3 linked regions of the Rattus norvegicus genome follow. The protein of the gene in region 3 binds, or shares a complex with, the protein of the main gene of each other region. Links are inferred from orthologs where the notes say so. Each region holds a gene or a part of one and is shown on either strand. Other genes may lie near its edges.

The links. The genes of interacting proteins can lie anywhere in the genome.
Region 1: Cir1 (region 3) and Nkap share a complex: the UniProt entries of both Homo sapiens proteins name them as parts of the notch corepressor complex. The link is inferred for Rattus norvegicus from reciprocal best matches to the Homo sapiens genes CIRSR and NKAP.
Region 2: Cir1 (region 3) and Sap30 share a complex: the UniProt entries of both Homo sapiens proteins name them as parts of the histone deacetylase complex. The link is inferred for Rattus norvegicus from reciprocal best matches to the Homo sapiens genes CIRSR and SAP30.

What each region holds. Positions count from the first base shown.
Region 1 is NC_086039.1:121,255,714-121,258,860, reverse strand, and holds the end of Nkap (NF-kappa-B-activating protein), read right to left. Parts: intron 760-3,147; coding exon 585-759; 3' UTR 501-584; downstream 1-500. UniProt on the Homo sapiens protein: Acts as a transcriptional repressor. Plays a role as a transcriptional corepressor of the Notch-mediated signaling required for T-cell development. Also involved in the TNF and IL-1 induced NF-kappa-B activation.
Region 2 is NC_086034.1:37,761,494-37,764,325, reverse strand, and holds the end of Sap30 (histone deacetylase complex subunit SAP30), read right to left. Parts: intron 837-2,832; coding exon 714-836; 3' UTR 501-713; downstream 1-500. UniProt on the Homo sapiens protein: Involved in the functional recruitment of the Sin3-histone deacetylase complex (HDAC) to a specific subset of N-CoR corepressor complexes. Capable of transcription repression by N-CoR.
Region 3 is NC_086021.1:78,586,310-78,589,809, forward strand, and holds part of Cir1 (corepressor interacting with RBPJ 1), read right to left. Parts: intron 3,430-3,500; coding exon 3,356-3,429; intron 2,763-3,355; exon of another isoform or gene 2,738-2,762; coding exon 2,727-2,737; intron 2,635-2,726; coding exon 2,570-2,634; intron 2,244-2,569; coding exon 2,195-2,243; intron 655-2,194; coding exon 537-654; intron 1-536. UniProt on the Homo sapiens protein: May modulate splice site selection during alternative splicing of pre-mRNAs. Regulates transcription and acts as corepressor for RBPJ. Recruits RBPJ to the Sin3-histone deacetylase complex (HDAC). Required for RBPJ-mediated repression of transcription.

The DNA.
Region 1 (3,147 bases), on a different chromosome or scaffold from region 3:
TAAATAGTTCCTGTCAAGTCCACTTGTAACACATTCAAGACAAGATATGAACCCCCAACTTGTTCTGGGGTAGCGGCAGACACTGTGTGGGGCTAATGATGGTCACACCAGATCATGATGTGAGATTTAAATTCCTCATTCATCTGCCGCTTTCTCTCTAGGCCACCTTCCTAACATAGCAGGACTTCATTCAGAATTTGGACTTTTAAACCAGAAGACTAGGGTAGATCTTAAAAAGCCCCAAGTAATGTACTAATTATATCTACAAGCATCTTTTATTGAAGGACTGAAGAATTAAAAAGAAGGCACAGAAGCCCTGAAAAGCCGTTTCACAGCACAATAGCCTTTTTGGCTGGGCCTGGTGGCACACACCTGGAATCTCAGCACTCGGAAGGTGGAGACAGGAGACCAAGAGTTCAGAGTCATCCTTGGCTACAAAGCCTGAGGTCAACCTGGGCTAATTGAAACCACACATCAAAAAAGAACTCAAAACAGAAACAAAACAATAAGCTTTTTGTATTTATGTCTAGAACCCACATTTCCTTTTTGATGTTAAAATGTCCACTTGCAAAGTCAGAGAGCCCTCACTTGTCATCCTTCCCTTTGGTCTTTCTGTACACCATCTCGCGAAAGCTGGCCAGAATCTTGTTCTCCCTCTTCCGTCTTTCTTCTTGGTTAAAGGAGGCAAGGGCTCTCTTCTCATCGGCACTGTAGATCTGGTTCTCTTTCCGAAGTCGGACAGCCTCCATTCGGCGATGCCTGGAGACAAATTTTATTTTTTACTTCATTTCATACTAATGATTCTTATAGTATGTTGTCATTAATCCTTTGTTAATATAGAATCTTCTATTTACAAGATGATAATAGACACTGGATATGGGTTGTTAAATGAATGTGTATTTTACCTGTTGATGTTTCCTTTTCCTTTGACTTATTTCCAGTATTCAAATAATAATCTCCAATGTTTTGTCAACATAGGTGATACCATTAATTTCAAACACTAAATACAAATTATTTTTGTTATTTTGAATAAACCAAAATGGGAAACTTATTAAATATTTTAGGTGATTCTTTTAAAACAGGGTTTCATTAAGTAGCTCTGGCTAGCATGAAGTGCTGTATGCAAACCAGGCTGGTTTCGAACTCACACAGATCCATCTGTTCTGCCTCCTGAGCACTGAAATTATTGGCCACCATGCCCAGCCAGTAATAGTGGGTTTTTTGTTTGTTTGTTTGTTTGTTTGTTTGTCTTTGTGGAGTCCAGAGCAGGACAGATGAAAGATTTCTCTTAATTAATCAAGTGGCACATTAAGGTTCAACTTTATTGATACAAAGAGGAGAATCAAGTCTAAACTTATAAGTGAAGAGGCATTCTGTGGATAGTTTAATTTCCTTAGAATCCAGAAGCATCACAAAGAAAACAGAAGGGGAATTCAGTCTAAGAGTTAGATCAGTAAAATACAGAGACAGAGGAAATTAGACTCAGAAGGTCTGCTAGGCAGAGAGCAGTATTAATGACCCCGTTTGTGTATACATACCCAAGCCTACATAATCAGTTCAAGGAACGCATCTCTAAGAAAAACCATGAAAGACTGGGTAAAGAGGAGAGAATCATTTCAGGTTAGCATGGAGGTGTCTAGGGATAACATGGGAGAGCTAAGGAGATGGCAACAGATTTTGGCTATTTGAGTACTGCGGGTTCTCTGTTTATTATAAGGAACAGGAAGCAACACACAGTGATGCTATAACAAGCACTCGCATAAATGCCTCTAGTCCATAGGTACCATAGTGTGGTGCTGCTTGCTCATAATGCATATGAGAGCCTGACTTTCTAAGATAATGTCACATTGATTTTTCAGTGTACTAAAGGATAGACTACCAGAAGTGTTTAAGAGGTCCTGTGGCACCACAGCTTTTCAAGTATTTGGCATTGTCGGAACTTTGAACCTTTTCCCATTAAATGTATGCAAAACAGTATTGCACTCAGGTCTTGACTTCCATTTCCGGTAACAATAAATATCATTTATGTATAGGACATATGTATTCTTTTCATAAATGGCCATGTCATTTCCCCGTATTTTTATAGGTATTTAAATATTCTCTCTACCAATACTTTATCAATTATGTGTATTCCATGAATCTTATACAAACCCAGAGTTTTCACATTTTAATATGTCTTTTGACAGACATAAGTTCTTATGTTTAGCTTAGGTAAACTTTGGGGCAGCACATTTTTTTGTTTTGTTTAGAAAACAATTTTTTTTCTCTGAAAGTACTTAATCTAGTGACACTGCCTTTTATATAAGGTGATTCAGTATTCTACATTCTTTTAAAACATGATGTTTTTGCTATACCATTCTCTGAATACTTGTTTCTGCACAGATCGGACATGCTATCTTTCACATACCAAAATTCCACACATGTACAACTGGCTTTGGGTTCTGCATTTTATCCCACTGAATATTTAGGCTAATCCAAATGCTTCCTAAATCCTGCAAGCTCCTTAAATCTTACATAGGTCTCATCTTATTTTTCTACTGTTTTTCAGAACTAACATGGCTACTCTTGGCCTTTTAGTCTAACAAATACTTTTAGAACCACTTAACTAAGTTTCATAAACTGCCATGATTTTGATTGAAATTTTATTGACTATAAATCTGAGAGAGGGGTTGGGGATTTAGCTCAGTGGTAGAGCGCTTGCTTAGGAAGCGCAAGGCCCTGGGTTCAGTCCCCAGCTCCGAAAAAAAAAATCTGAGAGAACTGACTTCACAATATTGCTATTCTAACTTTGAACATGCTATGTCTCCATTGATAGAGATCTTCTTTAATGTTTATTTCTATTATTACTAGTATTTGTTTTGTTTTGTTTTGTTTTTTTAAAGACAGAGTTTCTCTGGGTAGCCTTGGGTGTCCTGGAACTTACTCTGCCTTCGAACTCAGAGATCCACCTACCTTTGCCTCCTGAGTGCCAGGATTAAAGATATGCACCAATATACCCAGATAAGTTTTTATTTGATTTTTTTTATTTTATGTGTATGTGTGTTTTGCCTGAATGTATTTCTGTACCTCACATATGTGTAGTACCTGAAGAAGCCAGAAGAGGGCTTCAGATTCCCTGGGAATAGAGTTACAGGCATGTGGGTGCTG
Region 2 (2,832 bases), on a different chromosome or scaffold from region 3:
GGGTGTCTTTGGAAAGAGAGAGGCACAAAAACAACTTTTTTTTCCATAGGTCCTCAAGGAATAACAACGCATAAAGGGAAATTTAAAAGTGATTGAAAAGTAATGAAAGACTGATTTTCACATTTGCTAACATACATTGTAAAGCACTTTAAAAAACAAAATGCTAGTCAGGCAGTTGGCGGTGCCTGCCTCTAATCCTAGCACTCAGGAGGCAGACACAGGCAGATCTCTGAGTGGGAGAAAATCTGCTGTACAGAGTGAGTCCCAGGGCATCCAGGGTTACACAGAGAAACAAACAAAAACAAAACAAGAATGCTTAATTACAAATCAAATTGGCCTAGGGAAGGCAACTGGGTCATGTCTGTCATTCCTCCTTTACCTTTAATTACTTGGAATTTTAAAGAAAGGCTTACAAAATAAGATCCTTTCCCTGACATCTTAATGCCAGCCCCAGAAAGCTTCAAACAAAAACAAAGTTTCATAAAATAAACAGGCTGAAGTAGCTGTAATAGTAATAACCTTTATTTAAAATATGTTTAATCTAGGAAGCTCAGTTTATATGAGTTTCCAACTAATTATCAGGATCAAAAACGACAGCAACAAAAACAAAAAGCCAAAGAAAATCCTCTGTAGAAAAAATACACAAGAACGTTTCTACATCGGAAGAACAGTAAACACTCTTGACAGCAGACGTCTACGTGCGGGCATCTCTCCTAGTGGACACCACTGTCCGCCTTGAGATCTGATTTGTTCTTGTCGTTCCTCACTGAGTAGATGAAACATGTTAAGGTGTCTTTTTCATTCACTGGAATAGACTTAAAGTGGCAACCAACTATCTATAAATTAAAAAACAGACAAATTAAGTTAGATAGAGCAGACACTGGGAGCCGAGTAGAAGACACTACTTTGCCAACGAGTTATGTGACCACATGACACTTTTAAAGATTAAGCTGTCTTAACAGAGTATCAACACGCTCCAAAGCACACACAAACAAGATATTATAAACAAAAGAATCTGATTTCAAAGAACTCAATATGCTCTGACTCTGTGTATTTTACTCCCTTTGGTCAACTTGATTAATGTGCACCTGTTATAAGTATTTTCTCTTTAAACTTTACAACTTTAGATTGCAAACTACATATTCTTTTTTTCAAGAAGATTTATTTTTTTGTTTGTTTATTTATATGAGTACACTGTAGCTGTTTTCAGACACACCAGAAGAAGGCATCAGATCTCATTACAGATGGTTGTGAGCCACCATGGGGTTGCTGGGAATTGAACTCAGGACCTCTGAAAGAGCAATCGGTGCTCTTAACCACTGAGCCATCTCTCCAGCCCAAGCTACATATTCGTAAACATTAAATATCAATGAAATAAAACAGAAGAACTGATGTCCATCACATGAAGACATTTAGACATTTAGAGTGTAGTCACAGGAAAAGATTAATAAAAAGAAAAAAAAACCTTGGTAATAAACCATACCATAAATATCATTGGTGCAATTGATATTAATTCTTCTTAAGTTTCTTGCAAATTTTTCTGAATAAAATTTAAGAATGGAAAATTAAAGGAGCTGGAGGGATATTCAACAGGACTGTTTCCCTGACTTTTACTGCACAAATCTAACATGTACGCCACAATTACCAACAGCTGAGAAACCACGCAGCTGATATTCGTAGACTGAAGACTGCCTGCTTTTCTAGAATCGGAATCTGAACTAATAAAACTGTCTTTCAAGACTAGATTTCAAGGGCTTTGAGTTTGAGTTCTATATTTAAATATAACTTTGCATCAGATCCTGGCTATTTGTTATAGAACGGGGTGACTGTACTAGATTAGTGACTAGTATATTTTATTACAGTAAGGAATGTCTTCACATTTATGTACTATGCAGCCGAAAAAGGACGAGAACTTTTAAATAAATTTAAAGAAAAAAATATTTTTGTTGCCTAGGCAAGAAATATAGGAGATTTGGCTTGTTAGCATACTGAATTTTAATGTTAAAGAGCTTTTCTACAAAAAAATGTAACTCATTTATCTTTTACTTCTGCACATTAGAAATGCAGGCTAAGTATTAAAGTCCAGCTGAAGAATACAGGCACACTCTTACATAAATATGTATGTGTTGATTCACACATACAGACTTCTGATGTGTCTATTCCATGGAAACGTTTGCTTTGAATAAAAAGTATAATTACTTAAATCTGTTATTTTAACCGTTCACAGATCTTGTGGCTTTATTACTTCTTCAACACACACACACACACTCACTCTCTATTAGCTTCTGAAATACACCAAAGGAACTAAGTCCCATATAAAACAAACTTTATGTTAAAGCTTTATTTTTGTTCTTTCTCTTGATGTAAAGAAAGTATCCTCTACTTAAAACTCCTAACAAAGGCAAATGTATCTGAAAGTAAAGCTAGAAAGTAATAAAACCCTGCAGACTTGTTCCACAGAATCTCTGAAAACTAAATTCTAATAAATACTTATAAGCTATTTATTTTCCATCCTGCAATGGAAATATTCCATTTCAATTCCACTCCATATTTATATTCCCTCAATAAATATTCATTGAATAATTAGAAATTTAAAACAGAATTCTAGAACGATGATAAAAATTTCTTATTGAATATTTACTCTAAAAATCACTATTAAAAGACGCTGTACATACTCTGAATATAATCCACTGAGTACTCACTGAAGAGATTTTTCTCAGTGGCAGACAGATGTTTCTAAAGATCTCTACTCTTCCACGATAGGCCTATTAACTTTGACTTTACTGCATGTAATGTACTATTCAGTATACTGCATTTCTCTATTTCATCATC
Region 3 (3,500 bases):
CACACACACACACACACACAGTGAGTTTGGGGCCAGCTTGGTTTTTATGAGACCTTGCTTAAAAAAAAAAACAAAACAAAAAAACAGAACAAAACAATAAACAGAGTTCACACAGACACTTGGCTAAAAAAATTAAACTCTTGCAGAGCACTTCAAATTTAACACATGGGGGTTGGGGATTTAGCTCAGTGGTAGAGCGCTTGCCTAGCAAGTGCAAGGCCCTGGGTTCGGTCCCCAGCTCCGAAAAAAAGAAAAAAAAATTTTTTTTAACACAGACAGCGAAGGATTTCCCACTTACTCCTCTTTCAGGGAGGCAGGGAGGAGCGAGTGGCATGCTAGGGCCTGAACCCAGGACCTCATACACATAACACACAAAATCCTCTACTGCTGAGTCACACCACTGGCTCTGGTCATTCTATTTGGGGAATGAAAATTAAACTCAAGAGCAACAAAAGAGTTCAGGTAAATAAAAACGTTATTTTATCTTTCCTTTTTTGACAAAATTCTAAAACAAATAACTTTTGTCTAATACCTACCTGAGCCATCAGTAGGAACTGAACTTGCATTGATCCCGGAAAGACCAAACAAGGGGCACTCTCGATCTGTGTTCACATGGCCCCACTTGTGACATTTAATACACCTTACATTTCGAACCTGAAAAATTATAATAAACATTGTTTTGATTCTCATCTCACTTAGATCCCCCACCCTGCTTTTTTCTTTTTCGCTCTGAAGACAGGTTTTATTATGCAGCCCTAACTGGTCTAGAACTTGCTTTGTGCATCAGGTTGGCCTTGAACTCACAGAGATCCATCCACTTACACTTCTAGATCATTGGGATTAAAACATGTACCACCACATCTGGCTAAATTACTTTTAAAAAAGATCTCCAGGGAAAGCAATTCTATAATTATAGTAGGTAATTCAATGTAAATACTAAAATCTTGTTATAAAATGTCATCTAAAAAAGAAATGGTAAAATATCACAAAGAGTCATGGCATGGTTTAATGTTATGTTCCCTAATCTTAATACCCTCATTTAAATCTTCCTCCTCCCTCGTTACACAGGATAGCCCAGGTTACGCTTTCCATCTTCTTGCCTTGCCTCTACCTTTCACACACTGGAAAAACAAGTCATGCCACCTACCCAGCTACTCTTTCCTTCTCCTTTCTTTTCTGTCCTGCTCCAGCCCCTCATAACACACAAAGTGAGTGTTTTTTCACTGAGCTATTATTTCAAGCCCTGACGTTTCACATTTCTAAGCCAGTGGTGAGCAAATCTACTCTGTAAGTAACAACGCTGTGTTAAGCTGTGTCTGTTTGCAGCCACTCCGCTCTGCTGCTGTGACAGACGCAGCAGGGAAGCTGCTACAGACATCGCACATGACTGAGCAAGGTTTCTCACGGGATCAGCCTGGAGTGACAGGTGACTGTTTCTGAATCAGTAATCCTTTTCTTAAAGAAAATTATTGGTTATTTTATTTACTTACATTTCAAATGTTATCCCCAGTAATGTTTATATTGACATCTTTTCTCGACCTTGAGTCAGTTCTCTATGACTTGAAAGCCGGAGTGACCGCATCATTACCCCTTCACTAGCTTGATCCTCGTCTTCCATGTGCCTAGCACGGTCATGTTTTCTCCTCAGTCCGATCATTTGACATAATATAAACCACAAAGTCCTTTTTGAGCTTAAACACTATGATGCTAATCTTGGCTGGCAACCTCCCTACATATGGAATCAACTCAAACTGTTCTACACTCCAGTGAGGGATATTCTTGATCGGATTATTAAACCTGGGCCACACAGGAAGAATTCAGAGACGGAAGCTTTGAGTTTTGCTTGTTTGCACTCTTTCTCTCACTAGCAAGTTCAAGTTGCTCTATCCTGTTGCTGCTCATATTAAATCCAACTTCTTCAAGATTCCAATGCAGACTAAAAAGACCAGCAGCTCCCTAAGAATCCTCCAGGACTGCAGACATTCAACCTCATGGACCAAACAGCTGACTACCTGAACACATCCTCTAAGGGAGCATCATAAATTCCTCTCCTGTGTGTGTGTGTGTGTGTGTGTATTTCTCATCCTATCAGTTTTGTTCTTTAGAGAACTCTAATACAAACATTTTGGGGAAAATAATGTAAAGATACATGTGCTAAATAAAATTATTCTTAAAGAGTAAATGTGCCACTTGCCTGAATACCAAAGGGCTGATCTCTGATGTTCATGTCATCTTTAGCATATCTGTTAAGTACAAAACAAACATATGACTAAGAACAACGTAACAAATTCAATCAGCTAACCCAAAAAAGGTTAGTTTTTAAACATTATAAAGTGTATTATTACTATAAAATAAAAAACCAGCATCAATTTTTAAGTCTGATAATGTAGTTTTAAAGAACGAGCAAGCACATAAATCCAGGCTTGGATGAAGCACACTGTTTGCATGAGGTAAGTCATTAAAACACCCTTTCAAATTAGTCACTTGCTCTGGTGAGTGAACCTTAACAAGCAGGAGGCAAGGAGGACTGGAGACAGCCATATGCATTCCCCATAAGAACCAGTCTTACTTTTCCCTTGGAGCACCTTTCTGCCATTCGAACTTGTATTCTGTCTCTCCTTCCGTTTCTTCTTTCTACCACAGTCAGTAAAAAAAAAAAAATCTGTCAACTGTCCATAAAATCACAATCAACTATAAATCAATTCAAACAGAGAAAAGTACTTTACCTCTTTGTTTTCTTGATTGCAGATTCAAAGCACAGGGGGAAAGCAGGACAAGTTAGAAATGTCAGCAGAAAAGTCTACCTTACCACTGAAGGATACAATACAACATTGAAGTATCGTTCAGAATAGTCATGTTAACTCCTAATTTTTAAGCTTTTATGTTTTCACTGGCAGTGATAGACTTTGCATTTGAAAATGTATTTTAATAAGGACTACAGATATGTTTGCACTGTGAAAGGGCTGAACGTTTATCTGCCAGTACTGAGCATTCCCCCAAAGGACATAAGCTACTACATTGGAAACTCTTTATTTTACTTTGCTTGTGACAAGATTGTCAGAGCAACAGCCATGGAAAAATACAAATACCCTCTAAAAATACTGTCTCGGGCTGGAGAGATGGCTCAGTGGTTAGAGCACTGACTGCTCTTCCAGAGGTCCCGAGTTCAAATCCCAGCACCCACAGAGTGGCTCGTAACCACCTGTAATGGGATTAGATCCCCTCTTCTGCATATCTGAAGAGAGTGATAACGTACTCGCATTCATAAAATATACAAATAAATTAATTAAAAAAAATACTGTCTCCTCTTCCAAATCTTTACAGGCAATTACATCAAAGTGCAAAGGAAAGATACCTTTTTTAACTCCTGGCGGGGCTTCATACATGAAATTCAGGCCGTTCTTTACACGCTCATCTCCCATAAGCAATCTGAATGAAATAACGATAAACGGTTCAGTCAAGGAAGAAGATGACCACACACTATCTCAAAAGGAACCCTG